Notamacropus eugenii: one gene and its partners. The protein of the gene in region 3 purifies or fractionates together with the protein of the main gene of each other region. This does not show direct contact. Links are inferred from orthologs where the notes say so. Each region holds a gene or a part of one and is shown on either strand. Other genes may lie near its edges.

The links.
Region 1: the proteins of RNF7 (region 3) and SPSB2 purify together in Homo sapiens (co-immunoprecipitation; 3 studies listed by BioGRID and IntAct, with this or other methods). This does not show direct contact. The link is inferred for Notamacropus eugenii from reciprocal best matches to the Homo sapiens genes RNF7 and SPSB2.
Region 2: the proteins of RNF7 (region 3) and ASB7 purify together in Homo sapiens (co-immunoprecipitation; 4 studies listed by BioGRID and IntAct, with this or other methods). This does not show direct contact. The link is inferred for Notamacropus eugenii from reciprocal best matches to the Homo sapiens genes RNF7 and ASB7.
Region 4: the proteins of RNF7 (region 3) and ASB1 purify together in Homo sapiens (co-immunoprecipitation; 3 studies listed by BioGRID and IntAct, with this or other methods). This does not show direct contact. The link is inferred for Notamacropus eugenii from reciprocal best matches to the Homo sapiens genes RNF7 and ASB1.

What each region holds. Positions count from the first base shown.
Region 1 is NC_092874.1:195,224,211-195,232,260, forward strand, and holds SPSB2 (SPRY domain-containing SOCS box protein 2), read right to left. Parts: upstream 3,102-8,050; 5' UTR 3,037-3,101; intron 2,767-3,036; exon of another isoform or gene 2,641-2,766; 5' UTR 2,593-2,640; intron 2,301-2,592; exon of another isoform or gene 2,221-2,300; 5' UTR 2,186-2,220; coding exon 1,516-2,185; intron 796-1,515; coding exon 668-795; 3' UTR 527-667; downstream 1-526. Other genes in the region: TPI1 (triosephosphate isomerase), read left to right, coding at 1-39. UniProt on the Homo sapiens protein: Substrate recognition component of a SCF-like ECS (Elongin BC-CUL2/5-SOCS-box protein) E3 ubiquitin-protein ligase complex which mediates the ubiquitination and subsequent proteasomal degradation of target proteins.
Region 2 is NC_092872.1:154,030,172-154,038,045, reverse strand, and holds the start of ASB7 (ankyrin repeat and SOCS box protein 7), read left to right. Parts: upstream 1-4,806; 5' UTR 4,807-5,375; intron 5,376-5,497; 5' UTR 5,498-5,569; intron 5,570-5,809; exon of another isoform or gene 5,810-7,874. UniProt on the Homo sapiens protein: Probable substrate-recognition component of a SCF-like ECS (Elongin-Cullin-SOCS-box protein) E3 ubiquitin-protein ligase complex which mediates the ubiquitination and subsequent proteasomal degradation of target proteins.
Region 3 is NC_092877.1:330,008,130-330,015,815, reverse strand, and holds the start of RNF7 (RING-box protein 2), read right to left. Parts: upstream 3,003-7,686; 5' UTR 2,751-3,002; coding exon 2,576-2,750; intron 1-2,575. UniProt on the Homo sapiens protein: Catalytic component of multiple cullin-5-RING E3 ubiquitin-protein ligase complexes (ECS complexes), which mediate the ubiquitination and subsequent proteasomal degradation of target proteins.
Region 4 is NC_092873.1:66,137,447-66,145,536, reverse strand, and holds the start of ASB1 (ankyrin repeat and SOCS box protein 1), read right to left. Parts: upstream 3,121-8,090; 5' UTR 3,056-3,120; coding exon 2,923-3,055; intron 1-2,922. UniProt on the Homo sapiens protein: Probable substrate-recognition component of a SCF-like ECS (Elongin-Cullin-SOCS-box protein) E3 ligase complex which mediates the ubiquitination and subsequent proteasomal degradation of target proteins.

The DNA of each region.
Region 1 (8,050 bases), on a different chromosome or scaffold from region 3:
AAGCCTGAATTCCTGGACATCATCCAAGCCAAAAACTGAGCCCTTCATGTGGCCCTGCGACTCCTTTACATGCAGAGCTGGGACAAGACTGCACAAGAATGGCTTACCCCTCCCCCTCCCATGTGATTGTGATGCTGATTCCCCTCCCCCCATGGTCCAATTCAAGCTACATCTTCCTCCACCGTGTAGATTGTGTGCCCCAGTTCTCAGCTTCTCAGCCCTTCCTCCAATGGACCAGGCCTTTCCCTATTTACTGTAAATTTGAGGGAAGCACTTCATGTTTGTGATTTCTTATTGATTGGGTGGAAAATGGAAAGGGTGTGATTTGGTGCTCTCTGTCTCTCTGAGGGGTGGGTGACTGACAACCTTTTCTTCTACTTCCTTTCTACTTCAGACCCCAGTCATTGAGGGGTGGGAAACAGGTGATAACAAGGACGAATGCCAGCTTTGTGCCACCGCCTTCCTCTGAGTAAGCCCCAGAGATGAAGGAGTGTAGGGGAAAGAAACAGGAGAGACTATGACAGCATCCAGTGATGTCTTCTCTTTGACTGTCAAGCAAACCCTAGTTAGAAAGTACAACACAACTGTAACAATACTCATTATCATTTAAAGAAAAACAGGCCTTCAACTTCGGCTGAGGCTATTGTCAAGTCTGTAGTGGGTGGGGTCACTGGTAGAGCAGGTAGCGTTTCATGGCAAGGGGCAAGGGCAGGGCAGAAACCTCACCCAGCCGGGCTTCCCCCAAAATGTCACGAATGCACACTCGACTCAGGTGAAGAAGGGAGTGAGGTTCCGCTGTGGGGAGACAAGAGAAATTTAATTACTTCCAGAGTATCGAATTGGAGGTCATTCCTGGCCTCACCCCCACCATCCATCCTTGGGCCTTTCTGCTACCCAGCCTTGTAGGGTGGAAGGGACTGGTGTTTTGGGGGGTGGGGACATAGTGTTGTCTGAGCCGTGCTAGACATGATTTTCAGAGCTTACAAACCTATGCCACCACACAGGTATGAGGACAGCAGGGCAGACTCCTTGATGGGAGTTGAGAGACTTATGCAACTAACTGCCACAACTGCCTTTCTTCAAAAAAGAGGAAATAAGTTCCTAAGTACCAGAAGCCTCTGCGCCCTCTTCCCTCCAAGCCAGAGCTTTCCTGGGAAGGTGGGCTAGTACAATCTTTAACCCTGGGTCAGAGCCTTTGACTCAACCCCATCAGACCAAATTCCTCCCCTCCACCTAGGTCCCAAACCTTTTGTTTTTTCCCTTCGGGCCTTCATATTGTGCCCACAGTTTTTATTGACAGTTTTAGGGGACCCAAATGGAAAAAAGGCGAGCTTGAGTGGTTTTAGATCACAGACCCCTACCCTTGTGACAGACTACCTTCAAACAGAACAAACCAAAGGGAAGCTTCGGATGACTTTGTCCCTTCTCTCCAGTTTGTCCTCTGAGCCTCTCGAATAATCACCCCGTGTCTTGGAAATGCAAGCGACCCCATCCAGTCCAGCACCCCACTCTCACCTCTCCTTTCACCCAGGTAGCGGATTCGAACCTGGCACTGCCCCCATACAGCACTGACAGCAGGGTACAGGGTTCTTCCTTTAAGGCCCCGGAAGGCAGGCCCCAAGTAGGTACCTCCAATGGCATAACCCAGAGTTCCTTCCTCCATATCCAAAACCACCAGCAATCTCTCGGGCACTTCCAGACGCTCATCCCTGAGCCCCGTGGGGTATCTGGGAGCCCCGTTTCCCTCGCTTTGGTGATACAGCTTACCCCGCCCAATGTCCCAGCCCCACGATTCCCCATTACTGCCCAGTAATGCTGCATAACAGTCCGCCTGCAGTGGCGCTAAGGCTGTGGCCACCCCCACCACGGCATGGGTGCCCCTCTGCTCTGGGGGCCAGGCGATCTCCCAGGCGTGCAGGCCCCTCGAGTAGCCTCTCTTGCCCCGGGCTCCATCGGTGCTCTGAGCCACAGGTCTTCGCTCAAAGCTCAGTCCCTCTTCCCTGACCTCGATGTTCTCCGAGCAGTCCTTGGGGTTCCAGCCGTGATGCTGCTGCACACTCAGGTCTACGGGGGGTGCCGACAGCAGCTCCTCCAGTCCCTCCGGGAAAGACAGATCTGGGTACGAGGTGGTTGGGGATGGGGTGCCGCCGGTCCCACTGCCGCCCGCCAGGGCAGTCTGGCCCATGGGAGGGGGGCTTGGAGAATCCCCCCAATGCAGGCCTGGAGAGGGGCCGGGTGGTTAGAAGGTAGGGAGGGCGCTTCTCCACCCACCGCCGCTAGTGACCCGGGAGGGAAGAACGCTGGAATACAGAAAGCGCGAGTGACTAATCCATGCTGCCCCGGGCATCTCCCCCACGTCTTCACCACCCAGCCGCCGGCACCCCGAGGTGTCCTCCTTAATGCTGCCTTGCCCTCCCAGACTCCGCGGTCCCCCCCACCCCGTCCTGTCCGTCCACGGCCAGTTCTCTATCTGCCTCCCAAAGCGTCCCGATCTCGATCCCCACCCCAGGCCTCCTCCCTACACAGCGGACTCCTTGCCCTGGAGAGAGTCCGAAGACGTGAGTTCGAATCCCCGACCCTGCTGCTTATTACCTGTAACCCTGGGGCCAGTCACTTCCCTTTGGGCCTCAGTTTCCTCATCTGTAAAATGAGAGGTCTCAGCTAGATAATCTCTAAGGTCCCGGCCGGCCCCAAAGCCAAGGACCCCACGGTCCCTTCCGGACAGCCCCAGTTTCCTCTCAGCTTCCGCCTCCTACGCCGGACCCCGCCTCCCACCCCCCCCCGTCTCCGCCCTGCTCCCCCTAACTCCGCCCCAGACCGCGGACTGGAGCATGAAAAAAGGGGGCACGGGTTGGGGGGAGCGAGCACGCTTCCCTCTTAGGATCGGGGTCTGGAGGAAAGCACCCTCCGATGGGCGGGGGGAGAACCCGAGGGTCCGAGAGCTGAATTTGGGGAGGCGGCCGGGCCCCCTGACTGCACAGTCGGGGCTTTCTCCGGCTCCGCCCCGGCCTTGGTGTCTCCGCACTCGGAGCTCACCTTTCACAGGCCGGCGCTGCCTTAGGAACCGGGGGGCGGGGGGCGGAGAGGGCAGGGCTGGCAGCGCCCCCGCCGGGCGCTCGGGGAGTGAACGTCAGCAGCGCCCGGCTGAAAGGTGCCTGCCCCCTCCAGCTGGGCGGGACGAGGGGGGGGCTGGTGGCCGTACTTTGTGCGCGTGCGCAGACCGACGTCGGACCCCCTTCTGGACTCAGAAGAATGAATGAATGGCACTTCCTGCTCCGCCTTACAATTCCCGCGGTTCCGTCCCTTGAGGGGGCGGGGCGCCCGGAGCCCGGCGAGCTCGGTGCGTGCCCCGCCTGGGCCCAGGAATGGTAGCGAGGGAGGGCAGGGCGCGCCTCGGCACCCTCTGCCGGCCACCGTGGGACGCTGCACCCTCGGCCCTCCTCTGCGACGGCGCCCCGCTGACCCAGCCCTGGCCTGCCCAGGACAGCGGCCGGCTCTTGCGGGCAGGCTCCCCGCCGCCCTCACCGTGGCCCTGGTAGGGAGGGGATGCGGGCAGGCTCCCTAAGTGATGGGCTGCTCTGGGTGTCCAGTTCTTCCCTCCGGGGGGTCCTAATCCCCTGAAGCAAGAGGGCAGCCTGCTTGCCGGGATCATCGATTCAGAACGGGGAGGGACTTCAAAGGCCATCTAGTGAGGGAGTAAGTGAGAAAACAAGCATTTATTAAGCGCCTGCTGTCTACCAGGCTCTGTGATAAGTGCTGGTGAAACCAAGGCAAAAGAAAATGAAAAGCGGCTCACAGTCTAATCGGGGAGACATCATGGAAACAACTATACACAAATAAGAGATATGTAGTTTAAATAAGGGATCGTCTCAGAGAGAAGGCACTAAGATTTTAGAGACCTGGGAATGGCCTTTTGCAGAAGATGCGACTTTAGCGGATCCAGGAGGCAGAGAGGAGGAGAGAGGGTATTCCAGGTCTGGGAAATAACCAAAGGAAATAGTCAGGAGTCGGATTGTCCCGTGCAGGAGTGGCAAGGAGACAAGTCTCACCTGAAGGCAGAGGAGGTGGAGAAAAGCAAGGTGTGAGAAGACGGGAAAGGTAGAAAGGAGTGAGTTATGAAGGGTTTTCAAAGCCAAGCAGTGGTATATGAATGTAATGGAATACTATTGTGCAATAAGAAATGATGAGCAGGTAGATTTCAGAAAATCCTGGAGAGACCTGTACAAACTGATACAAAGTGAAATGAGCAGAAGCAGATACACAGTATCAGCAACATTGTGTCATGATCAACTGTGACTGACTCAGTTCTCAGCAACACAACCCTCCAAGACCAGTGCAAAGAACTTGGGAAGGAAAATGCTATCCATATCCAGAAAAAGAACTGATGGACTCAGAATGCCAATCAAAGCATATTTTTTCCACTTTATTCTTTCTCATGGTTTTATTTCCTTTTGTTATGTTTCTTCTGCAACTGACCAATATGGAAATATGTTTTACATGATAGCACACTTATAAACTATATCAAACTGACTACCATTTTCAGATCAGGGAAAGGGAGGGAGGGAGAAAATTTTGAACTCAAAATCTTGTAAAAATGAATGATAAAAAATTATTGATATGTCATTGGGGAAAAATACTACTTAAATTTAAAAAAATAAAAGATTCCAGCAATGTTGGACCAAGATTTTTAAAAAAGCCAAGCAGGATTTTATATGTGATCCTGGAGGTGACAGGGAGTCATGAATTTGTTGGGAGACCCAACAAGAAGGCTGGTCCAGGCATGAGGTGATGAGAACCTTGTTCAGGATAGTAGTGTCAGGGGAGAGAAGGGAACTTATGCAGAGATGTAACAAAGATAGAAAAGACAGGACTTGACAAAAGATTGGATATAGGGGGTGAATGTAAGTGAATAGTGGAAGATGATTCCCAGGTTAGAAAAGGTGTAGAAGAACCACAGAGGTGAGGCCATCCCACTACTTCATTTTAAACAAAGACCTCGGAAGGCTATATAGTGTCTCATTGGCAACGTCAAAAGCTGAATTTGAACCCCATGTCATCTTCCAGGGACCCTAGGTGTCATCTTCCTGAGTTCAAATGTGGCCTCAGACACTTACTAACTGTGTGATCCTGTTTGCCCCAGTTCCTCATCTGTGAAATGAGCTGGAGAAGGAAATGGTAAACAAGTCCAGTATCTTTGCCAAGAAAACCTCAAATGGGGTTAGGAAGAGTTGAGCATGACTGAACAACAACAACAACAACAACATCTTATTGCAGAGCTGGAACTCCTTCTACTTTACCCTGTTGTTAATGATAATTTTCGGAATAACAGAGCACTTACTATGTGTTAGGCTTTGTGCTAAGCCCTTTACAATTATCATCTCATTTGAGCCTCATAACAACCCTGGGAGGTAGGCGTTATTGTATCCCTGTTTTACAGATGAGGAAACTGAGGCAAACAGGTTAAGTGATTTGCTCAATATCTCTCAATAGCAATCGTCTGAAACCAGTTAAGAATTCAGGTTGAGGGAGTTAGTGTAGACCAAGAAGACAGACTTCTCAGTAGAGGTTCCGATGGCTGGTAGGACACTTGGAAGGGCCTGGCAGCAGATGTCTTGGTTCTATTACCAGTATCTGCTTGTCACCATGTTTCATATGCTGGAACCTTGGGAGAGGACTGTCTTCAATTCCATGTTGATTTCCATTGTTGGAATGGCCTTATACACTGGATACATCTTTATGCCTCAACATATCTTGGCAATATGACACTACTTTGAAATTGTACATTGAACACAATGTGCTCAAGAAGTAACAGACCACAGATCCGTTGAAGGGAAGAAGCCATCTCCCTTGGTGAAATGAGACTTCAGAAAATTCCAGACATATGTTGTGAATATGAAGACTAAATTTCAAGGAAGTATTAGGACAAGGAAATAATCCAAACTCAAGCAATCCTGATTGAAACGTTCCCTCATATAATAGTTTTATCTACTTTGATATTGTAGTGGTTTGTACTCTAAATATCAGTATTTTCTTAGCCTTTGGAACTGTTTTACTATTGGTCTGTGAAAGCTTTTCATAATGTAACATTGAGAAAATTTTGATTGCTTTATATTGTTTATAATCTGAGATCATTAGGCCTCTTGCTTCAGCAGTTGTCTGGCACAGATATCTACCTAGGATATATTTAAAGCATTGACCAAAATTTTGTAGAAATAATAACAAGATGAAGAGGGAATACTTCAGTTGAGTATAAGAGACTTCTTTCTAAATTTATACTCGGGAGTAGTTTCAGCTGTCTAGACTCCTCATTATAAAACATTTATTTTGCTTTAGTGTTATTAAAAAAACAAAGTATTTCTCCCCTTAATAGCGAAAGAGCAAAGAAGATTCTTCTACAGTTAGAATAAAGGAATACCTAACCTTTTAATAGTTAGCCTTATTTTATGGATTTCACATGGACAAAAAGTTCTATGATAGAAAGCTTTAGAGAAGTAATCTACTTACTTAGCAGCATTATTATGGAATGCTGACCTCAGATGGTAGTTTTATTAAGTAAATAGTGAAAGATTTCCTCAAAGGTTATCACTAACATTTGGAGTCCTGTGAAATTGGATTTCAAGACTGTAGCTGGTGCTGAAAATTTTAAAAAGCATATTATTGTTCACAGTGAATAATTAATAAAACTATAATCCAAGGAGCTTTACAAACTTGTTAAAATAGCATTTAACACTTTGTGATGTGTGTACATTGGGGTGTGTTGTAAAAATTTGTTTCCAAACTAGAATTTTTCTGTGGTGAAGGCTGATTATCAAAATTGAAAATCAACTGATGGGAAACCTTCTTTGTTTAAGAGTCATGCTGTTCTTGATTTTAATCTCATGTTGGGTATTTTTTTCCATTCTAAATTTATTGCTGCTGAAGATTAATCATTCTTAACTGGTTAGTTTTCAGTTTCTCCCCACATTGTAGAACTGACAAACTTTAAAAAGTAATTTAATCATCAACAGGCATTTATTAAACAACTTTTAGGTGTCAAGCACTTGGCTGCATGCAAAGACAAAAAGAAAGACAATTTCATAGAATTTGAGATATGATCCAACTCTTTATTTTATAAATGAAGAAAGGGTTAAATGATTTTTCCAAGATCACACTGATGAGGTTCAGACTCTGGGAACCTCCTTGAATTCTCCTCGAATCTTCTGGAAGCCCATGTGCCCTGGTTCCTGTTGCACTCCCCACCCTTGATCCTATCAAAATCCCATTCCCCAGGCTGCTGACCACTCCCATCAAGATCCTCTCGATCTGTATTCACCCCAGAGGACTGGTCATTCCCATCAAGACCTCTGGATTGTCCCACCTGCTCCCCACTCAAATCTTCCATTGACTGATATCTCCTGATTGCCTCTAGCTGTTTCCAACCCTTGACCAGTCACCCCAATCCCATTGAGGTCCTCCTTGGACTTCTCCTCAAGACCCTCCCTAAACCCCTCCTCCCATCACCCTAGACTACCAGACCACCTCCATATCCCTCCTACAGTCTTTTCTATGTCTAAGTTCCATCTTGCCTCCATGAAGGCGCTCAGACTCTGTCTAGCTGAGATTCTATCAGTCCAACTTGTTAATACAAGCATTACAAATGCTTAGGCTCCCTAAGAGTCAACCCAATATGGTGAATCTTTAATAAACTTTGTGGTTTTTTTTGACTTAAAAAAAAAGAATTCAGGTCTTCCTGATTCCAGACTAATAGCTCTTTCCACTTCACCACTTAGCTACTCTGTTGCTTTCTAGAATTAGGTAGTCTTGAGTGAGTCACTGGGCCTCAGTTTTATCATCCGTAAAATAAATTAGACTAAGTAATCTTTAAGGAACTTTTTAGTTATAATTATAATAATGGTGTGGGCTGGACATACACTTGATGAATGTTCCCATAGGAAGAGCTACCTATCCCAGGCTCATTTCCTAGTTTTGTGCAAAGTACAGAAAAGCAGACTGTCACTTTACTAATTATTAATTAATTCATTAGCCAGTAAGGGACTTTATTATATAATTT
Region 2 (7,874 bases), on a different chromosome or scaffold from region 3:
ATAGCCCTCCATCACTCAAAACAGTCAAGTGAAAATCATGTCATCACTTCTCTGATGGCAATGAAGGACGAACACAATCCTGTGAACAGATGCAGCTGGCTGAATGGGGACCCAGCTAGCTGGGTAACTCAATTCCTCTTCTCCTGTCTGCCTCCCCGCCCCCTTCCTTCTCCTCTCCAAAGGATGGTAAAGTTGGATGGCCAAAAGATGCCCAGTTGACTTGAGTTTTACTGGCCCCTTTCCTTCCCTTCCTTTTCTCCTGTTCTGTCCTATCCTGTCCTCTCCCAAAACCTTAAACCTACTGCACTCTCAAAGTGGGAAGCCAATGGGCCCCTGCCTAAGGGCTCCTCTTGACCCTCCTAGCTTTAGAGTGATTATCAATAGTAATTGTTGCTGTTTCCCACCCAGCCTGATGTCTTTCTTTTTCCTGACCTCATCAAAGGGGCCATGCCCTGGCTACTTCTTAAACAGGCCTATTCAATGAATGAGTGTTGCCTCACCCTAAGTGAGTACCTGCAAACACCTTGGCTTAAAGGGCCCAAGGTCTCCCAGTGTATCCTGGGTCATCTCCAGTCATCCTGATGAATATCTGGTCACTGGATTCAGATGGCTCTGGAGGAGAAGTGAGGCTGGTGACCTGCACAGCCCTCCCTCACTCAAAACAAAGTCAAGTGCAAGTCATGTCATCATTTCTCTGAGGGCATGGTCTTCTTTGGCAATGAAGGACGAACACAAAACCTAAGCCAAACTGGGACCAATTGAAAATCTTAGCTTGAAAAGACCAAATGCATCCTGGGCCGTGTCCAGTTGTCCTGATCTGTATCTGGCTACTGCACCCACATGGCTCCAGAGGAGAAAGTGGGGCTGATCACTTTGCACAGCCCTCCCTCACTTTAACTCAATTCACTTGCTTGTCATGGCCTCACTTCTCTAATGTCAGGGTCCTTCTGGAGAACAAAGAACAAACAGCAGTAGTTGTGTCCAATTCTTTGTAACCCCATTTGGTGTTTTTTTGGCAAAGATACTGGAGTGGTTGCTGTTTTGTTCTCCAGTTCATTTTACAGATGAGGAAACTGAGGCAGACAGGGTTAAATGATTTGCACAGGGTTATGCAACTAGTAAGTGTCTGAGGCCTAGCACTCCAAATACTATGCCACCTAGCTGCCCCACTGCACCACCTGGCAGGCATTTAAATACATAGTTGTTAAATAATACAGAAAATTATGTTTTGATGATCTGTACTTTTAAATTCTGGACCAATGGTATGATCTGTGGTTACATTAAAGAAGACACTCTGATTGTTTTGAAAACCATTTTAACTTCAATTTAATGAGCAGGAGAAGGAGTATGTAGTAGCAAGGTACTACACAGAATCAGAAAAACTGGGTATCAACAACTAGCCCAGTGACCCTGGGCAAGTCACTTACCTTTTCTGGGTCTCAGTAATCTCACTTGTGATATAAATGGTTTGTAGTAGATTCATTTCCCAAGTACTCCATTCCAGTAGTAAAACAATCAGTTTTACTATCAATGTAGTTTTCTAAAATGGAATTTTTCATTTTGAAATACTCTGCCTGTGGAAATTAATAGTATAACATAAAAAAAATTACTAAGGATATTGAGAAACTATGGGCCACTAAAAAGTACAAACTTTACAAATTTATTAATTCAACAGACTTTATATTAAAGGCTAGGTATAAAAGGAAACAAAAAGTGTAAGAACACACACACATTCAAATACAGCCTCAGATTACCTGTAACCTTGTGCAAGTCACTTAATCTTGTTTGCCTCAGTTTCCTCATCTGTAAAATGAGCTGGAGAAGAAAATGGCAAACCACTCCAGCGTCTTTGCCAGGAAAACCCCAAATGGAGTCATGAAGAGTTGGCCACAATTCATAGGTAGTAAGGGTCTCCAGGTTTCCTTCTGTATGACATTTTGTTAACTACATCAAGCCTGGGCAGGCTTCACAGCCTCTTAAGTGATATTTATTATCAAGAGTTTGGCCTACTGATCTACAAGGGGTGGGGGTGGGGGGAACAAGTAGATGAAGAATGCCTATTGTGCAGCAGGCTATAATTCAGCTACATAGATAAATCATCAGTACCTATATCTTGAACAGCCACCTTGAATAGCAGTGATTTAATTGTAGAACTTCCTGGGAAGAGGAGAGTAGGCTGTAGTGATTTTGGAAAATCAGACAATATTTTTGAGTTTCTCTCTGTTTTTACCCTAACATTTTCTTACAGCAGAGTGTAGCATTCCGCCGTATTTAAGGCATCCTCAAACAAACACACAAACACACACACACACACACACACACACACACACACACACACAGGATTGTCAAGCCTTTGATGATGGAGGTCCTTTCATATCTACAATCCCAGAGTAATCATTTTTTACATACTTATTTGAATACTTTCAAAATCTATTTCAAGTGGGCACACTGCAGCAATGCAGATCACAAAATGGCTTTGCTCAGAGATGGTTCAATGGACGGCTGAAGCCAAAAATAAACAAACTTAATTTTCTTTCCAATCATTTGGTGAAGGTATTCTAAACTTAGTTACCTAGGTTGGACCCTGGAGAACAGACCGAAAGGGTCCATACCTATACTCACGGTGTTTTCAGCTTAGCAAAATCTTCTGTGGCCTGCACTTTGCAGGTATAACATTTGAGGACTAAGGATTACCTCTCCAGAAACAATGAAGCAGTACAGTGGGAATTCAATGGGTGTCTTGTACAATGCTGTTCAGTAGTTTTTCAGGCCCCATTTGGTGTTTTCTTGGCAAAGATATTGTTGTGGTTTGCCATTTTCTTCTCTAGTTCATCTCACAGATGAGGAAACTGAGGCAAACAGGGTTAAGTGACTTACCCAGGGTCACACAGCTACTAAGGGTCTGAGGCTAGATTTGGACTCAGGAAGATGAGTCTTCCTGACTCCAAGTCCAACACTCTATAGGCTACCTATTGTACATAATTGGTGCTTATAAATCTTCGTTAAATTGAAGGCTTTCAGGATATGTAGGCTGAGGAAAGATTAGACTCTCACCAGTCTTAACAATTATACATTCCCAAATGTCTAGCCACCCTGTTCTAAAAAGTTGAAGTTTCAATTTGTCATGAACTAGCAAGAAATGGAGACAGGTCAATTTCACAGAATTTATGAAATGAAACTAAGCTCTTTTAGAGCAGGAACTATTTTTTGCCTTTACTTGGATCCCCAATGCTTAGCACAGTGCCTGGCACAGAGTAGGTTATTAATACATGCTACTTCACTGAAATATTGAACTACTTCCAGTTTAATTAAGCTTTTTCTAAAAACAGGAATGTTACACTTGAATTTCTATGTCTGGTCTCCCAAGACATGTCTTGTTAGGATCTGTGTATAGGCCCTGTCTGCAGTCTTAGGCTCAATCCCAAGCCTGAGAGCCTGAAACAAGTTATCCAATCCAACTCTCATTCTACAGAAAACAATGACCAGTGGTCTGGCAAAGTTGGGGAGAAGAAAAGGGAAGTTCCCACTATTCCTTATACGTGACGGTACTGTTTAAATGATACTGCATCGTGGAATACATTATAAACTATTTAGAAGGAAGTAAAGTTTCATTACTTTGGACTTTACAAATCTGCGATCATCTGGTCTGTGCTCAGAGCTCGTAGAGACTTCACACCCCATGAAGGCTTACTTTTTCAAACTTTCTCCATTTGAAAAAATCCACCAAGCAAAAAATAACATCAACACGACAGCAATTTGGTAACATCTTTAGAAGCTAAATACAGTGGTTACGTGAATTAAACATAACACTTATTCCCGAAAATTGGATGAGTATTATTCATTCCTTAAGCAAAGTGGGTTTTTAAAAATACAGTGGTCCATTAATTAGTCCAACTTCCCTTGCGATTATAAAGCAGCAAAATCTGCACTTTAATAACAGACCATGGGCTTAGACTGACCAGGACACTTAGCATTCACACACAAAACACTTTCCCCACAAAAAGACAGCGAAGCGCGCGTACAAGTGTCCCTTATTTTACAAACGTCTAGTCCACGCGTCTGCTAAGGGTCACGACTTTTGAGGCATATTTAAGCAGTATTTAAGAAACATTAGCAGAACGGTGCCGCCAATGCGCCCCAGAGAACTCACACTTCCGGTCCTCTCAACTTCTCGAAGCGCACGTGCAGAGCTCCGGGCTGCGAAGTCCCAGCGGCCCCCGCGGCACAGGGAAGGACGGGGGCTCAGCCGGAAAGCGGAGCCTGGCGGAGGAGCCGGGGGGAGCGGCGGGCTCCCAGACCTCACCTGTCTCCACCCTCGGCTTCCCGGGCCTACTGCCCGCTTCCTCCCTCCCCGAGTCGGCCCTTTCCCCTTCAGTCAGTCTCACAAACTCCTTGGAGAAGATTCCCCCACTCGCCCGCGTCCTCCCCTCCTTCCATCACGTCACCGTTTTTATCAGCCCAGGAGTCCCGAGGAAGCAGCCCCGCCTTCACGCTCAGGATCCAAGTGGACCATGGCTCCCAGGGACACTACTCTGTCCCTACCTCCCGGGCACCGTAGTTCCAAGAGATTCGTATGCCCTCCTAGTCTCCGCCCACCGCATGCGCAGAGACCCCTCCCTCGCGCGGTGGTCGCTTAGCAACTTCCCCGAGTCCTCTCGCTAGGGGCGGAGTCTGGAAGGGAGTGGAGAAGCGGTGAGGGGAGCGGGGAGTGGAGCCAATCGGAGACGAGTCCTGGCGCAGAACGGCACGCCTCTTCCAACTGTCGCGAACGCGCATGTGGCTTTACGGCAGAGGAGGGGGGGTGGGGGAGCGGGGAGAAGGCGGAGAGAAGAAACCAACCAACCAACCAAGCCACCCCCACCCCCACCCACCTCAGACCTGGTTTACGGCTCCGGGCTCAGTCCCCTGTGAGGCAGCTGATTGGTTGGTGGGGGGTTGGTCCCTTCCCTGTGACCCCAAAGTGCTGAAGGGGGGCGGGGGTGGCCCTGTGCAAAGTGCACCCAGAAAGCCCCCCGCCTTGAGCCCCCCGGCCGGCCCCCTCCAGCCCGCGGCCCCCTCACACCCTGCAGGAGCTGATTTCTTCCTGCCCAGAGACCTTCCCGGTCCCCCCACAACTGCGGCGCTCCTGCCCCCGACATCGGCAGCCGCTGCCCCGGGCACCCTAACTGGCTCTCCCCCCCACCCCCTGCCCTGAGGTCCCCCCAGATCAGGCTGCCTCCCCCGCTCCGCGGTCCGGGCGCTCGCCGGCCGAGGCGAGGCGCTGAGGAGAGCCGGGCGCCCGAGCGGTCCGGCCCTGAGGCGATCTCTTTTCATGGAGAAGTTGGTGGCCGCGGTGGCGGCGGGGAGGAGGAGCAGAAGCCGCTGAGGCTGGAGAGGTAGGAAAGTCAGTTAGGTCCCGGGGGCGGCGGCGGGGAGCCGGGTCACCTGCGCCCGCTCCCCCCGGCTCGGACCCGGCTGACTGCTGCCCGCCGGGGCTCTGCCTGCTTGGCTTTTCCAGGTTCCCCGGAGACCCGAAAACGGGAGGACTGCCGAACCGGCGCCGAAAGCGGGCTCCGCTGCCAGTGCCCAGGTGAGCCTCCTGCCCTCCCCCGCCCCCTCCCGCCGGAGCCGGGGCTTTATTTAGGGGAGCGCCCCGGTCCGCGCTGCCCGGCCGGCCAGGCAGAAGCCCCGCCTGCTTCCTAACCTCGCACTCCTAACTTCCTGGCCCCGGGGCTGGGGGCTGGGTGCCATCCTCGCCTAGACTCCCCCTGCCCGGCTTGGCCGCTGGGAGACCTTCGGGGACGTTTTTATTTGTTTGCTCCTCCCGCAGGGACTTCACAAGTCACTGGCTTTGCTGGTCAGTTTTTCAGGAAACTGTGATTTATAGGCATTTTCTCCTTGACTTTCCTCATCTTTCCAGTGGTCAGCCTATGAAATTTGGAGGACGCTGATAAGCCGTTTGAACGTGGATGTAGATAATCTGAGTCCTAGAAAATGTATCGATTAATCTTTGTACTTTGAATTATTTGCAGAATTTAATTTGTCATCACAGTATGTAGAGAAGTCACGATTTTCACTTTTTTTTGATAACTTCAAATTTGAGGTGTAGATAATGGACTTTTACAAACCAAGCCAAACACAATGCATTTCAGGATTTCACCAAGAATGGTTAACATCTCACAATATCTTGACAACAGGGGATTATTGTGTTTGTTTGTTTGTTTTAAAGAGAGGGGGGTTCACGTTGAGGTTGGTTTTATCTTAGGCCGCGGTCTGTAGGACTTTATTTTGGCAGTCTTCACGGTTGGCCTGCTTTTTAAATGTAAAAATCTTGCAGAAAATGTTCGGCTACTATTTTAAAAGCTGGTAAAGATGTTAAAAAATCCTCCATTTGGGGGTTATGTTATTGAAAGTGATTGAGAGGTAAATTCAGGCATTTATACAGCCCATACACTGGGAGACAGAAACAGGAAAATTGGCTAGGGAAAATTTTATGTAGGAGTTGGCCAAACGAACAATATGTTTCTGACATACAATGACATTTAAGGATGTAAAATGACTTCTAATTACTTCTTTCATAATCTTTTTAATATTTCAAATTATTTGGGATGTTTCCTTTTCAGTTACAGTTACAAAGCATCACTTAATTGCAAAGGGAGTTGGTAGGAAGTCTTTACTTCACCTCACTACCCTGTGGCCTTGTGCCTTCCTTGTGGAAAACAAAAATTGTGTCATTAATGGACCTTTCCACTGTCATTCTGAGATAATTCCCCTTCCGATGTGTTGCATTTATAACTACTGTGAACCTTAATGGGAATTGACTATCAGAGGGAGAATGTACTGTGCTGAATACATTTTACAGTTACTATGTACTAGTTAAAGTAGATAATATTGGTGAAAGTTTAATGTCCCTTTTGTCTACTCACAGGCTTTTGCTTGTATTTTTGTGGAGGGAGGTGGAAAGAGACATAAATATGTATAGAATCAAAGACAGAGACCTTTATTTGCTACATTTCAATAAAACTAGGCAGTACAGTCAAGTTGGAGGATAAGTTTCCACATTTAAATATAAAAATTTCAACTGCGGATAGTACATATGTTAGGATTTTTTCCCCTAAACTCTTTAGTTTTTGATATCAAAATGAAGTTCTCTGTTATGCAAGTTTTCTCACTTAAGCATGTTTCAAGCTTAAATTTAATAGAACATATTTCCTTCTGAAGGTTCTTTTTTATATTCCTTTGCTAAAGTACTACTAAAGCCTTATTAGAGTATGCAAACAATCCTGGTTTCTGAAAGGGGGTGATGTGAGTGAAGTAAAGCTCTGGAAGGAGCTATCAAGGTGGAAGGACATGTAATTCAAAGACAGTCCTAGTTAAATTTGGAGAGGTTCGTCACCAGAAGGTTGACAACCAGGTGATAAACTCATTTGCCCACAGCAGCATATGAAGACCACATATGTTGTGGAAGGGTTGTGATCTGTATTGGGAGGAATACCCACACCAGTGAAATTGGGTCATTTGACATAATGAAGATTTTGTTTTAAAATGATAGTCTGTAACTAAAGTGCAAATTTAAGGTAAGGAAGGTTTGCCTCCATACCCCACAACTTGGCCAGTCCATCATCGTTTTTGTTGTTTGTGTTATACCTTTTTAATTTTATTTCATTGATTTTTAAAATTTGTTTTATGTCTTTAATGAGTTGTTTTGCTGATATAAGTTCTATCCATCTTTTGTGTCTCTGAGAGTGTAATTGAGAATTGGAGTTGTGTCAGACACTATTTTAACCAGTTTGCTGAAATGTTCTTTATTGTTCATGTCTTAATCCTGCTAGGATTTTTTTAGTTCATTAATTGTATTGAAAACTACATTTAAAATTATTTTGAAAAATGCATTT
Region 3 (7,686 bases):
AGATATAACATTCTACAGATTTTTTTTCCTCAAGATATACTTTGCTGAATAAGGCCACAACTATCCTTTTGTAGAGAAAAGTACATTTAAAACACTAGGCCTATTCTAGGTAGACAAGAAATCCTGGCCTCATGACACTGAAGAAAGATGAAACAAATTAACTCCCCATCTCCTCAGGTCACCTCTGACTCTGCATGAAGAAACTAGGAACCAGGGGGTAAAGTGATGGACGTGTCTAAGGTCATACAACTGGTGTTCTAACCCAGTCTGATACTCTCTTTACTAGGCCACACCTAAAACTCTTGGTACATCTGAAAGCCTATGGCACCTCTTAGATGCCCTCTCACATTCCTCCCCTTTCCTCCTGACTGTAGCACATACATACCACCTCTAGTATTCTCAGTCATGTCCCCCAATACATCATTACTTTGTACAGAAATCCTAAAAGGAACCTTAGGAGCACTCCCCTGCTGGTTCATCCATGTACTCCGCTGGCACAGATAGCATGCCTCTTCTCTCTTTCCTGAATTCCTCTCTTGGTAACTGTGCCACCTTCCTAAATAGCAGGAGTAAAGATTCCAGTGGAGACAGTCAAACCTCTGAGCAAGGATATCACAAGAAATCACTGATAACTGGAATAAATCCCAAAATTTCAGCAATGATGGCCCAGTCTACTCAATGCACATTTTATTCAAATGAGTAATGCACTGTATAGGATACAAAACTTGAACAAAAACTTTCTTCATAAATGCCACCATATCTGGACTTTGTTCCCAAAGACTTGGCTTATATTCGATATCAAAACTCTGAACGAGATCTAATATAAAATCCTACTTTTATCTTTTTAACCATAAAATCTGCCTGAATTTTCATGATGCTCATATCTAACTTAAGTAGGGTATTATTTACTTCTTTATACTTAATGTATTATTAACTGTCAGTCACTTAGTTTGTAGTAATTAGGATCATTAATTAGTAATTTAGGACAGAAGTGGTTTGTTTAAAAAAAAAATGAATCTCTCACTATTATTATTGACTGAATACTCACTGGACTTTAGCAGTCCATAAATAAAAGTCTGTATGTAATATACATTCCAAAATACTTGTAGACTAAGAAAACCTAACTGCTCTAAATCTGTATCAACGTGGTAATTGTGGAATAAGTGTTATAACTAAGATGGTAGAATTACAGCCATTTGAATTCTTATATGCATGCATTGGATACTTCAAGCATGTTTGTTATATAATATCAACTGCCACTATAGGTTTCCACATTTCTATTTAATGTTTGAAGTAATTAATTTGGTAAAAAGAGAAAATTACTTTCTGAATATTAACCCTTCAGAATGCAGGATAGAAGCCGAAAATGTTTTTACTTTCAACAAAATGTAACATTTTAGAGGTCTATTTTCACTTTAAGGATGAACACAATGAATGACACCATGAAAACAAACCTTTAACCTACAAACTGAAATGTTCCTTTTTAAAAAATCAGAACTTCTACTCCTTTACAGTAAGTTTTTTCACAGCTTTACATAAGAAAAATAATACTAGAAATCTTTTAAATAAAATAAATCAAGGTTTTTTTCCCTCTCAACAAAATAACACTACCCAAATTTTAAAATGAGATCGTATTTCTCATGTCAGAGGAAAAATTAAATCATGTCCCTAGCATGAAAAGTAAGAATCAACATTAAGTTGTAACAAAATTCTACAGAAAAAAGATAAAAAACTTAAAATATATATATTTGAATCACTATAAATACTATAAAGTATCCTCAAAATGAAAGGATAAAAGATACAGGATGCTTAAGATAATCCAATATGCTTAAAAATCTCATCCCTTAATTAGAAAATCTTGTCTACAATTTACTTCCCCTCTAATGACTCTAAAACTCATATTTTAGTTCCCAAGTACAGAAGGTTTTATTTTTTAACATGAACCTCTCTTTGCCTCCATTCTTTCTCGTAATTTGTATTTAAACAGCACTCTTCCTAGGAGGGTTGGGAGTAAACGACTTCACCTGCCTGGGCCTCGGGTCTATAAAAAGCAAACGCACGTCCCAACTCGTATCAATCATAGCTTATCGATCACACACGGCACATGATTCCTTTACTCTAAGTGTGATCAAACTCGTCTCGGTGCAGCACGCCGTCCCTGCGGACCGGTCCCCCCACGGCCGGACCAGGCGGGCAGGGGCGCCTCGGGATGGCCGGGCCGGCACCCCCGAGCCCGCGGGTCTGACAGGCGCGGCCGCCGGGGGCGGGGGGCGCTCAGCAGTTTCCCCCACGCGCGGCCCCGTCGGCCACACCCGGCCCAGTCTCACGCCGGCCTGCGGGCCTTCGACAGGAAAGCGCGTCGCTCCCCCACCCCCTCCGTCGGTAGAAGGCCCGGGTGGGCGGGCCTGCGCTCACACGTGCGTGCGTTCGCGCGCTTGCTTGCTTCCTCAGAGGCCCACGGAAGACGTCGGCCCCCCACGGGGGCCGGGGGAGGAGCGCGCGTGCGTGGCCGCGTGGGGGAGGGAGACGCCCCGGAGGCCTCGCGGCAGCCCCGGGCTCGCGTGGCAGCGCTTACCCATCACCTGGACCCGGCAGATGGCGCACGTGTCGCACTCCACGTCCCAGCTCCACATGGCCACAGCGTTCCACTTCTTGAGGGAGAACATCTTGTCGCCTGCGGCCTTGGAGCCCGAGCTGCCCAAGTGCGAGGCCGGCGCGCCAGGCTCCTCTCCGTCCTCCACGTCGGCCATGGCGGCGCGGGCGGGCCCGGCCGGCCGGCGTGGGAGAGGCTTGGGGCGAGCGCGGCGGGGAGCTATGGCGGCGGGGCCAAGCCTCCTCGGGAGAGGCTGCAGCTCCCTCCAGAGGCGGCCGCAGGGAAGAGCCGGCCGACCGTTAGCTACCGAGCCCGCCGCCTACGCCCCCGCGGACGCCGACGTCGACCACGCCGCTGAGCACGCCGACGTCAGCCCCGCCGGCGCGGCGCCGCGGCCCAGGATTGGACGACTCTGCCTGCGCTTGGGTTACGTCACCGGGGCGGAGCTGAACGGGCCCCGCCCCGCCCCCTCCTGCCCTGCGCGTGTCTTCTTGCGCTCACCTTGCCGCGGGTGGTCCTGGGTTCTTGGTCGCCCCTCGAAAGCGCTGCCCTCGGCCGGGCACCGGCAGTCCGCAGCCCTGAGGCCTGATGTGGGCAGGGCCTGGGCCCGGTGCCGAGCTTAATTAAGCCCTGGCCTTCCGAGCCCCCAGTGCTTGAAGTCACTTCGTAAAAGAGGGCAAGGAATCAGCCGAGTAAGGCTCCCTACCCCTGTGCGAGAGCCGAGTTCAAACCCTGCCTCCCGTACTCACGAGCTCCGTGACCTTGGGCCAGGCGCGCCACCACTGGCTGCCTCCGTTTCCCCGTCTGTAAAATAGGAATCACAAAGGCCCTCTCAGCTTCCGGGGCTGCTGCGAGGATCACGTGGGATATTAGGAAAGCACCTGGTACGATGCAGGCACGTATGGGTGATCAATACACTGATTTCCTTCCTCTGCCTAAACTTCTCCACGGTAAGACCTCCCCGAGCCGTCGGGAGGATCCGTTGGAGAATATTTACGTAAATGAAATTAGCAGGTCCTTAACCCGTGCGGCCTCAGCTTCCTCCTCTGCGCGGTGGGGAGGTGCTATCTGCCCAAGTGGAAGGACCCAGCGAGACGAGACGCGTGAAGGGCCGCATAAATACCGGCTGTCCTTCTCGTCTCCTCCCGACTCTCCTGGTGACCTCTTGCCGTCTCCCTGGCAGCCCTCAGCCCGTTAGGGTTTTCTTAAGTCAGCAGTGGGCACAGGGGAGGGAGGGGGAAGGAACATTCCTCACAAAGCTGTATGTGAGTATCAATATCATTTATACGGAATTATTGGGTACCTGTAAGTGCTGGATAGCTGAGGTAGTGCGGAAGATGATCACAGTGGGATTACTTAGAGAATTTGGAGCCCAACCAGACTAAGCCTAAAAAGGTAGTTGCTTATTAATGAGCAGTCTGAAAAAGGAAAGGATAATAGATGGGTTGAAAGAAGGAGGAAAGCTCCTCCAGGCAGGAGTGGCATGTGGTACCACAGTTGGGAGATGGCAGAAATATTCCTGGAAACATTAAATTTGTCCAACTGAAGTGGAAACAGAAGTCTAGGAGGGCTTAGTTATACATTAAAAGTTAAGGGAAAGAAAGAATTTGAGGTATAGTAGTGCCAATTGACAACCATAGGGACTGATTATGATAGATTGAGTTTAAAGAGGGATTGGGAGAAAAGTATGAATTAGACTCATTCAGCATCAGGGGTTTGGGGAGGGATGGACAAAAAGTACAGAATTGGAGATCTTTTGAGAGGTCAGTGCTAAAAATATTGATTGGGAAATCATATTTGAACATGGCCATTATTTATGGTTGTATGTAAGACGAGTCAAATATTTACCAAGTACTCAAAGATGAGCACAGCCCTCACTACATTTGGAACTCATTCATGCAACCACTATTTGTGGGCAGTAAGTATATTCATAGCACACTGGGAGGCACTAAGGGAAATTTTAAAAAAATTAATGTGGCACAGGGACCTCATGGATAAGAAGGATATTGTGCATAATGGCAGCCTCCCTGTATTTGCTTCCATGTCTGAGGTTAAGGAGATGCTGAGTAACTTGTTTATACAGTGTCTTGATCAGATGATGAGGGCAAAGATCCCTCCCATCTACTTTTTGTCCTCCTGACTGGCATTAGTGTGATCTTGTGAGATTTTGCAATCCATGTGGCCCCCTAGAAGCAAGCAATTGGTGTCTGACAGAATGTAGAACCAGTCATGGGTCAAAGGCATGTCAAAGCAGGGGGCTAGCCCAGGATAACAGAGAATGGAGGAGCAATGAGGAACAAAGCTATGATGTGAACCAGCAAACCAAGACTTGTCCTTCACAGGTGCTGTGAGTCATATGAACTGTGCAGGAATGGCGGAAAAGGAGCTTACCCAAATAAGAGTAGAAGGGTTTATTGAATATGCAATACATTATCTTCCCAGTTAAAGATGTTCAGGCTCTGAAACTTAAACCAATGTGCCATCGACCCTTAAATGCAACAGAACGCTCTGTAAGGCTTAGGACATCTTATGGCTACCTACGCACTGATAAGATACTGATACTAGAAATCATTCTTTAACCTCAGTGCTTGTCATTTACTTATTTTTAGTTTTCAACATTCACTTTTATAAAATTCTGATTCTGAATTTCCCCTCCTTCCTAAGACAGCATGCAATTTGATATAGGCTGTATATATACATATATGTATATATACTATATACAATACATACTACCTACACATATGTATACATATACAATATACATTGTATATACATATGTATATACTATATTATACACACATATACAATCATATTAAACACATTTCCACTTTGGTTATGTTGTGAAAGAAGAATCAGATAGAAAGGGAAAAACCATGAGAAATTAAAAGAGAGAGAGAAAGAGAAAATAGTATGCTTCGATCTGATTTCAGACTCCATAGTTCTTTCTCTGGATGTGGATGGTATTTTCCATCATGAACCTCAAAGCTTTTAATCATCTCTAATAAACACCTTGTCACACTTTCCACAGGGGATTTTGCAAACCTCCTTTCGCATCTGGACCCAAAATTTACCCCACTTTTCTCAGCAAATGACCTCACTTTCTATTGTACTGAGAAGAATGTGATCTTCTACTGGGAATTCTATTTACCCCCATCTTTCATATTTTAATACCTCACTATGTCTACCCCTCTTTTACAGAGGATGAAGTATCATAACCCCTTGCTTTTCCTCTTTATATTTTCTCCCTTGGTGAGAGGATCCATTGTCATGATTTCAGGTATCACAGCTATGGGGATGATTCCTAAATCTGTATAACCATTCCTGATTTTTTTTTTTTGAATGATGGTCCAGTATTTCTACCTAGATGTCCTGATATTACCTCAAACTCAGTATGTCCAAACTGAATTTATCATCATCTCTCTAAAACTGGCTCCACTCTATTTGTACTGCTTACTACCCATGGGACCTTAGCCAAAGCTTTCCATTTCCCTAGGTTTCAGTTTCCTCATCTGTAAACTGAGGGCGTTGGAGCAGATAAGCCTTAAAACCTAATCCATCTCTAAATCGTAGGATTAGTCCAGCTTTCCTACTCCTGTTAGTAGCACCGTAGCCTTCCAGTCTCACCCAAGCACAAAACCTGTCATCTTTGACTCTGCCCTAGCCTTCAACCACTTTCCCTACATCCCATCAATTTATAAAACCTGTGCACAAGGTTATTTCTTAACCAAATGTCTACTAGTTGGTTATGTTGTATCTTAGTTGGCTATGTTGTTGCATTGGTCAGGAGGAAGGTATTTGTATTTCTGTACTATGGTGATTTTCCTGTTGTGTTTCTATTAAGAAAAGTACTTTCATCCCTTCAAAAACTCCTTTCACAAGACTTTCCAAGAAAGTAAATATGACCATTTTTGCTCTTTTTCTTCACTTGTCTGTCTTCATTCTTACTCTTTCCTTTTCCATCATCTCTATAAAAAATATTTTTTTATGGGTGAAAAAAGTGTTCTGAAATTTCTTTTCTTTGGAAGACTGGTGGAATTCTCTCTCTCTTTTAAATAAATATTTAAATAATTTTGTTAAATGAATCTAAAATAAATGAATCTCAGCAAAATTGTAACTTTAGGGAGCACAGGGTCAGTTGATATGGGCTGTAAAACCCTCAGGGTGCTTCTCTGCTGCCCCCATAAGAACTGCCAGTAAGATCTGCCCTTTGATCCAAGACTCTATTATCTTCAGCTTATTGACCTACTGGCACCTGAACTCTAATTTAGCTTAAATCTTTCTTCCTGGCAGTTCCTGTTTGATAAACAGACTCTGCTTGAGAACAGTTGATCCCTGGTTGTTTTGACCTGTGACTCTGTGTACAGATCTTTTTGTCTCTGCTTCTTTGCATCTGTTGATAAGTCCCCCTTCTCCCCTTCCTCTCACCCCATTCTCCCTCCCAGGCTCACCACCACCCTAGGCCCATCCCCAGCCAAATGGTTCCTTCCTCTTCTAACTGATCCAGCTTAGTGGGGTATGATGGGTATCCACCAAAACTCAGTTCTTAGCTTTGGTCTTTTTGTCTTTATAATCAGATAATCTTAGATTTAGACCTAGGAAGGGACATTAGAGCTCATCTAGTTCAGTCCCCTCATTTTACAGATGAAGAAACTGAGGTACGGTGAGGTTAAATGACTCGCCTAAAATCGCACTCGGACTAAATCACTTCATCTTTCTGGATCTCAGTTTCCTTATCTGTAAAACAAGCTAGGAGTCTGCAGGCTTCATTATGAACACACTAACCCCATTTCCCTTTTTGACTAGATGACTGTGCCAGTGGATGAGGTGATGTGGATATAGTTTGCCTAGCAAAACTTTGAATAAAGTATCTCATTATAAACACTTTTGTTTGCATTTTGATAACCCTCCACAATCTGATTCAAGCCTACCTTTACTGATGATACATTACTGTTGTTCATGCACTCTTTAGTCTAGCCTGTAGACTGGTCTGCTTACTATCCTTCATATGTAACATTCCACCTCCTGAATCCATGCCTTTTGCCCCATGCCTGGAATACACTTGCTCTTTATCTTTGCCTTATAGAATCCCAAGT
Region 4 (8,090 bases), on a different chromosome or scaffold from region 3:
GAGCACAGGCTCAAGCCTGGCCACCTGAAGGCTAGTCCCCCACTGACCATTATCATACTGGGTGTGTATGGGAAATTCACCTAAACTTTATGGGCTTGGTTTCCTCAAAGGATCTAACTGAATGACTTCTAAGGTCACTTCCCCAGGTCTTCCATGCCATCTCCCACCATCTGGAAGGCTCTCCCTAGTCACCTCTACTTCTTGGAATTCAAGGTTCAGCTCAACTGATCCTTCCTACAGGATTCTGCCTCTCCCTGTTCTCCCACCCCTACCCCATGGTCAGCCAGGAATCCCAATGGGATCCATTTTGTGTCTATTTAACTTCAAACATGCTGTTCCTTTTCTCCATCATGTAAACTTCCTGAAAGCCAGGAATGTTTTTGTTCTGTTTTGCTTTTTAAATTATTATTGTGGTTACCCCAGCACATAACACAAAACCTGACATATAGCTGCTATCTAATAACGATTTCTGAATTGAATTTTACAATTCAGTGGGAGGTGGCAAAGCCTCATGGCCAGAGAACTAGGCTAGAAGCTAGGAGAGCTTGAGTCTTGACTCTATCACATACTAGCTGCACGACCCTTGACAAGTGTACACTCTCCATGGTAGGGGGAATTCTTTAAGACTTCAAATGGTGGAGAAGATGCCAACAGGAGTTTCCTCACCTAAGAGGTGTAATCACAGGAACACCCATCATCCCTAACCTAATATTTATTTCCCCCCCCCCCAAAAAAACCTCTGCTCAAAAGGACCTGATCAGAATACAAACTAAAACTCTGACATGACTTGAACTAAATAAAACTGAAAGAAAAAAAACATTAAATCTACCAATACACCACAAAGAAAACAAAGGCTAAGAAAATTGTGATTCATGAATGCCATGAAATATTACTGTCCTGTAAGAAATGGGAATTGTGATGAACTGAAAGAAGCATGAAAAGACTTACATGCACTGATGCAAAGTGAAGTCAGGAGAGCCAAAGGAACAAAAGATACAGTGACTCCATGATGTAAACAGAAAGAACAAAAACTCAGAAGTGAAAGTTACAAAATTACAAAAAGCATTCAGGGCTCCAGAGAAGAGATCCTAGAATATACTCCCACCCCATCCCCTCTGCACGAGCAGGAAGCCCATGAGTGAGCCACGTTTCACATACTTGCATCCTTTTTCAACGTATACATCAACTACGCTGATTTCTTCTTTTCTTTAAAAATATAAATTCATTAAATAGGATTATAGATTAAGAATAGGAAGAGATGCTAGTGATGTATCCAGGGATTCTTAAACTGGTATCCAGGAACATTTTTTTGTAATTATATTCCGATAGAATTGGTTTCTTTTGTAATTCTGTATGTGTTATTTTTTGCATTTAAAAACATGATGCTTGGAAAGGATCTATAGGACTGCTCAGACTGCCAAAGAGATCTATGATATGACAGAAAGGTTATTCTAGGAATTCTGATCTAGGCAGATCCTCCCATTTCACAGTTGAGAAAACTGAGGCTCAGAGAAAATATCCAGCAAGGACCACAGAATCATAATAAATGACAAACTGGAAGGTATCTAAGACTATTGATCATCTAGTCTCACTTCCTCAATTTCAAGAGATAGAAAGGGAAATCAGTGGCCCCAAGGTCACCTAGTTCCTTCAACTGCTAACCTCTCGCTCCTTCCACTTGTCTGGAACACAGAGATGAATAACTGAAGATGACCCTCCAGAAATATTATACCTGGAATGACAAAGGGGGAAGGGGCCAGCTCAGATGGGGAAACTGAGGACCAGAGAAGAGAAGTGACCTTCACAAGGTCATGAAGACAGCTGATGACAGAGCCAGGGCTAGAGCCCAGGTCTTCTGACCATCCTCCAACCCCACCCCCCATCCTCCCAATAAAAGTGAGTTTTCCATGACAAGAATACTCACTCTCTCCTGCCCCTAAAATTCACTGCATTTCTCCATTGCTCCCCTTGTCTGCAGTGCTTAAAGAATGCATCCAACAACTCTTCTAAAGAGGCAGAGGAAGAATCATGATTCCCAATCAACTGATCAATAAGTATGTTTATCCTCCCAGCAACCCTTGGGAAGAAGGGTCTATTAATAGCCAGAAAAAGAAACTGCGGTTGACAGAGGTCCAGGGTCATACAACTAGTAGAGGCAGAGGTAGAATCTGAACTCAGCTCTAGGTCCAGCCTCCCTCCCCAATCCCCCAGTCTCCTGGCTAGTTCCCAGTCCTTAGGGGGACACTGGGGATACAAAAGCACAAATGAAATAGCCCCTGCCTCAAGAAGCTTCAGCCCTGTGTGGGAAGGAGCATATCTGCTCACTAAGTATCTATGAAGCCTTTTACACAACCCCATTGTGCAGAGGGGAATACCAAGGCTCAGAGATGCCCTGACTGGCCAGGCCCACTGTGGTACACCCAGGAAATGTCAGGCAGACCTGGCTTTCACCTCCAGTCTCCTGACTGCATTAATTTCCCTAAATCAGACCTGTCTCAGAATTTGACTGGTCCGAGCCTGACCAGTGACAGCTACAATAGCTGCCATTTCTAGTGCTCTGAGCCTGGCAAGGCACATTCTCTGCTTGGCACCTCTAGCCTCACCCTGCTAGCCTGCGGAGCCCCGAAAGGAAGGGCCCAGCGCTCACTGCTGGAGGCCTGGGGCCCTCAGTGGACTCTTGCTGCCCTTGGGCCCAGGGTGGCATCCTCCAGGCCCAGACAGGTGGCAGGTCCTTCCGAGGCTGAGGGCTCCTCCCCCTCCCCGAGTTCAGCCTGGGAAGCGCATTGGGGTGTCCGAGGGGCAGGCCGTGAAGCTGGGGCGCGTGCCAGACGTGAGCTTCCCCCTAGATTCAGAGCCGGGGCCACCCCCACCCCCTCCACACCCCCCACCAGAGTGAAGGGGCTCTGGGGCCTGGCACATTACCTGCATTGCCATCCGTGGCTCCGAAGGGGGCCCCCCTCCAGCCACTGGGCTGGGTTTCCAGGCTGTCGCCAGGCTCCCTCCGCTGGGACCCGGGGCCAGCGAGGCGGCTGTCCTGACAGCTCCCTTCGGCCATCTGTCACCGGGCTGCAGCGCCGGTCCCGAACCTTCCCCTCCCCCTCCCCCTCCCCCTAGCAGGGAGCCGCTGCCAAGCCCAAGGCCATGGCCAGGGCGGCCCCTCCCTGCCCGCCCGCCAGCCCGGGCCCGCCCCGCTCCCAGCCCTCTCCGCGCCCGCTCGGTGCCCGGAGCGGCCCAGGCTGCGGCTGGGGCTGCTGGGCGGGGGAGGCCGCTGGGCGCGGGGGCGCTCGGCAGGGGGGCGGCGCTCGGCAGGGGGGCGCTCGGCGGAGGTGGGGGAGCCGCCGCGTCCTTCGGGAGCCTCCCGAAGGGGGAGGATCCCTTGGGGGAGGGAAGGGCAGTGGGCGGCTCGCCGCATCCCGCGCTCACCGCCCACCCGCCCCGGGCCGCCCCCAGCCATCCTCTGGCTTCTCCCAGGCCGATCTGTGGGGGCCAAGCCTGCTCCCGGAGGGCAGAGCCAGGCGGAGGAGCAGCGGGGGTGCCCAGCTCGGAAAGCCGATCCTGTCGGGCCGGCTGCAGCTGGGCCCTGGGAGGAAGCTCCCCGCAGTGGGAGGGGCAGGGGGTACCAGGCCCCCGCCCTGGCCAGAGAACCCAGATAACGGAGGGCGAGTGTGAGCTGGCCTCCTGTCCGTGCTTCACTCACAGAGACTCCACGGCCCTCCAAGCGTGGGCATTTTTTATTAATATAATTACTCTAATTTCAGTCCTAGAGAAGCGTTCACTCGGCACCTTTGATGTGCCTGGTCCCGGGCTGGGCACTGGGGGGTGGATGCGAAGGTAAAAGCCGATCCCTGCCCCGCAGGAGCTCACCATCCCATGGGGTAGAACCACGAGACAAGCCCCAGACAGGATAGATAAGACGTAATCCAGAAGGAAGGCTCTGGCGTTGCCAGGGATTGGAGGAGCCTTCCGGGAGGATTCCGGGAAGCCAGGAGACACGATGAGGAGAGCTTGGGGCACAGCCCAAGAAAATGCCCAGAGATGGACAGCTGCAAGGAGGCCAGCGTCAATGGAGCATGCTGGGAAGGGGGCAGAAGGTGCCAAAAGCCTGGAAAAGTGGGGTAGATTATCAAGGGCTTTGAATGTCAGAAGCACTTTGTATCTGATCCTGGAGGAAATAGGGAGCCATTGAGCTGAACACTTTAAAATCTGCAAACTGTTTTTAAAATGCAATCTCATCTGAACTTCCTAACGATCCTGGGAGGTTCATGATAGCAATAATAACTTTAGATAGCACTTACTCCAGGCCAGGCACTGTGCTAAGTGTTTTACAATTATTATCTCGCTGGATCCTCATGACAAACCTGAGGAGTAGGCACTATTATTATTCCTTTTTAGAGATGAGGAAACTGAGGCTAAGAAAAGTTAAGTGAGTGTCTGAACTGGGATTCAGACTCAGGCCTTCCTGACCCCAAGTCCAGAGCTCCCAGTGGTCCAGTGTCCCAGTGGTCACCAGGTCAAAAAGGAAACAGAAAGGATGTCACAGAACTGAGAATCCAAAAGATGATAGAGTAGAAAGACCCTGGTACTCTAAGCCAAGAGCCAGATGCTGGTCCAGTATCAGCTCTGCCCCCAGGTAACCCTGGGCAAAGCAATTCTCCTTTGTAGAATGAGAGGCTTGAATCCAGTTTGTAAGATCCTTCCAACTGAACGTGCCTACTGTATACCAGATATTGTGTTACAGGCTGGGGAATCTGATGACAAAATGACAACAGGTGCCCTGTCCAGACATCCTTGATCCATCCTCTCCTATCTTCTCCAGCAGTTGTCCCTATGATCATCATCTAGTTTTCAGTCTCTTCCTGTCCACTACATCCTCCCTGCTGCTTATAAACAAGCTCATACTTCTCCCATTTTAAAAAACAGAAAAGAAAAAAAGGAATAGGGAGAAAAAAAAACTCCTTTCCTTTAATTCTAGGACCCTCTCAAGTTGTCTAAACTTCAAGAAAAAGTTAGACCCACCTGGAGCACCGGCTTCCTTTCTCTCAGGCTCTGCTAATCCGCATGAAATTGGGCTGCCACCTGAAATCACTTTCTCTGCAATTACCAGTGATCTCTTAATTAAGGTCAAATCCTCCAGCCTTTTCTCTTCTTGCCCTCCTGGACCTCTCCATAGTCTTTGACCCGGTCTGACTTGTTATCGAGGCATGCCCACAGGCTGTGAGTGTTCCCCAAGGTTCCATCTCCATATTCTCTGGCTTCGATAGCTCATCAATGCCCATGGATCCAATTATCACTTCTCTGAAGAGGACTGGGCTCCCACATCTGTATTGCCTCCTCTAATTTCTCTCCTAAGTTTCCATCCCATATCAGCAGGTAAAAACTAACCTGTTCGAACATGGGGTTCTCTATGTGGAGAGATGATATGAACTCCATCGCCACTCCCGTAACTATGCCTCTTCCAAAGTTCCCTATTGCTCTCAAGGGCTCCCCATCCTTCCGGGCCTCCAGATGAGTAATCCTAGTGTCATCTTTCTTGTTTGAGGTCAAGAGAGCAAATGTTAGGATTAAGATTTGAACCTCAAATCCAGCAGCATTCTCTCCACTATTCAAGACTTCCTCTTGTTGTATTATGTGATTGTAGAGAAGTCCGCTGACTTCTCTTGGCACCAATGGTGCAATGACCTCTCTCAGCATCTGTTACTTCTAGTGCCTATGGTAGCCCCAGCATCATCCAAGACAACAGCAAAAAAAACCCAAAAGTAACCATTTTCTTTGTAATTTTGTAGTTTTATTTGGAGTCTCTCACTTTAAAGGCCTTCTTGGGACTCTTGTGTCCTTTTAACATGTGGAAACATAAGGACTGTGGAGAGTTCCTAAGGAGAGAATTGAGGCAAACAGAATTTGGAGAAGTGTATCTTGCCCTACCCCTTAAATCCAAACCATTGATCAAATCTTCCTTTCTATGTTATTTTTGTCCCCAGTGTTCCCCTCATCAGTGAGATGCACCATGTTGTGACATGCTACTGAGTCCTATCTGAGCACTGTGAACTCAGTCCCTAGCTCTCCCTGTATGGAACATGCTGTTTCTTTTAATCAGCCGCAGCTCGTGGTGGAGCCTTTTTTTTCTTTATTTTATGCTATGTATACTAGCTGGGAATTTCTTGTAATTGGAACTCACTTGGTTGACAGAGGAAATTCTATGGGGTCAGCCTATATTTCCTCCTGTAATTAATTGATTGTCGTATATAGTGAATAAAAGTGTCTCTGACAAAGTTTAAATTTAAAAAAAAAAACAACACTGAGCTCGCTCACCCAATGAGTGTAGATGCTGGGTAATTTCTTTGCACAGATTTTACCAGATAGCGTGGCTGATCCCATATTTTCCAGAGAGTTATGATTCCCTGTAAGGCAGGTGCCTGCTGAGACCTGGGAGCACACCTGGGCATTCTGTAACTGGTTGCGAGGAACCTTTTGACTGTAAGGCCACAACTGGGGATGTCTTCATATAGGCCTCAATCAGCTCCCCATCCTTCATGCCTTTCACTGACTCCTTCATTCATGGCGAAAGACCATGCAGTGAGGGGGAAGACCCTGGGGCTTTCTCCCCTGTCCCACCACGTGGCCCCAATGATCAGGCCATGGTCTATGGCCCTCCACCTTTGCTGTTTGCTATTTTAAATGAAGGGAGTGTAGTCTCCGAGTAGAAGCTATACTGCCAGAAGACCCTGCTGTGGGGAAAATTCAAGGGAGTCATTTTCCATCAGATCTATGCCAGACTCCTTGCAGCTCTCCCCCAACATGTAGACATGGGCTCTTGGTTTCACTTGTGTAAACCAATGAAGCAGCATCTACACTAGCAGAGAATGTCCAGGAGGGTCTGTGGAGATGGAAGGATTATCCTTCCCCCAACCTTCAACAGGTCAGGGATGGAGAGATTCAAGTACAGTAGAGCTCAAAGGGGCCTCAGAAATCTTCTCACCTGCACCCTTTCATTTCTTAATGAAGAAACTGAGGATGCCCTTAAGGTAGTGTCTTGTTTAAGATTACACACTGAGTAGAAGGCAAAACTCAGACCCGAGCCCAACTGGGAGTCCAGTTCTCTTCCCGAACTCCCATGCTGCCTTTCACTGCTGGGGATTCCAGGAGTAGATGAGCCTTGGTGCTCAAGACCTTGGAGATGCCCTTCAGCTCCTCTAGTCTGACCCACCTCCAGAAGAGGAACCAGAGTTAGAAGAGGAACCAGAGTTGGAAGAGGACTGGCCTCCCTGGAGAGGAAAATCCTGCTTGCATTTCATCTATAAAAACGTGAACCCAAGACAGGAACCAGACACTGGCCAGGTCCTGTGGAGAGAAGGCCTGCTCCATGTCTCTGGGGGGCAGGTCTGCAGATCAGAAGGCCTGCTGAGCAGACTGGCTTTCATGTAACACCTTGCAAACAAAGGAAGGCCCAGAGTGTGGGAGAAAACTTACAGTCTGTGTATCTGCAGCAGCCTTGGATCCTGGGCTGTTGTTTTCACACATAACTGCTCTGTGTCCCTCCTCCTCCTCCTCCTCCTCTTCCTCCTCCTCCTTCTCTCTCTTTCTCTCTCTCTCCCCCCCTTCCCTCTCTCTCCCTCCTTCCCTCCCTCCCTCTCCCATTCCTTCTCCCTTTCTCCCTCCCTTCCTCTCTGTCAAATGAAAGACTGGTATACCATACAGATGCCTTTAAGATGTGAAACAAAACCAAACAAACATTCCAATGATTAAATGCACCATAGGCCATCCTTTAAGTCAGAGTATGGAGAGAAAATTCCCACAGTAATTTTATTTAAAGCTCCTCGGAGGCCTTCACAGTAATATTTCTGTATTGCCCTGGGATGCATGGAGGTGTCAGCAGAAGGACCAGCAAATCCTTCAATTGGGACAATAAATCAGTCGAGAAGGTTAAACAGGATGGATCTGTAGAGAAGCAGGCTGGCATTATTGCGCAGCAGGAGCCAGGCTTGGCTATCGGAGGAGCTGAAACAAGATTGGTGCATTCAGTGATCATTAGGGCAGCATACATCTCTTAAAGGGGTGTGCACAGACCCAAAGAGCTTCCAAGCTGGTTCTGT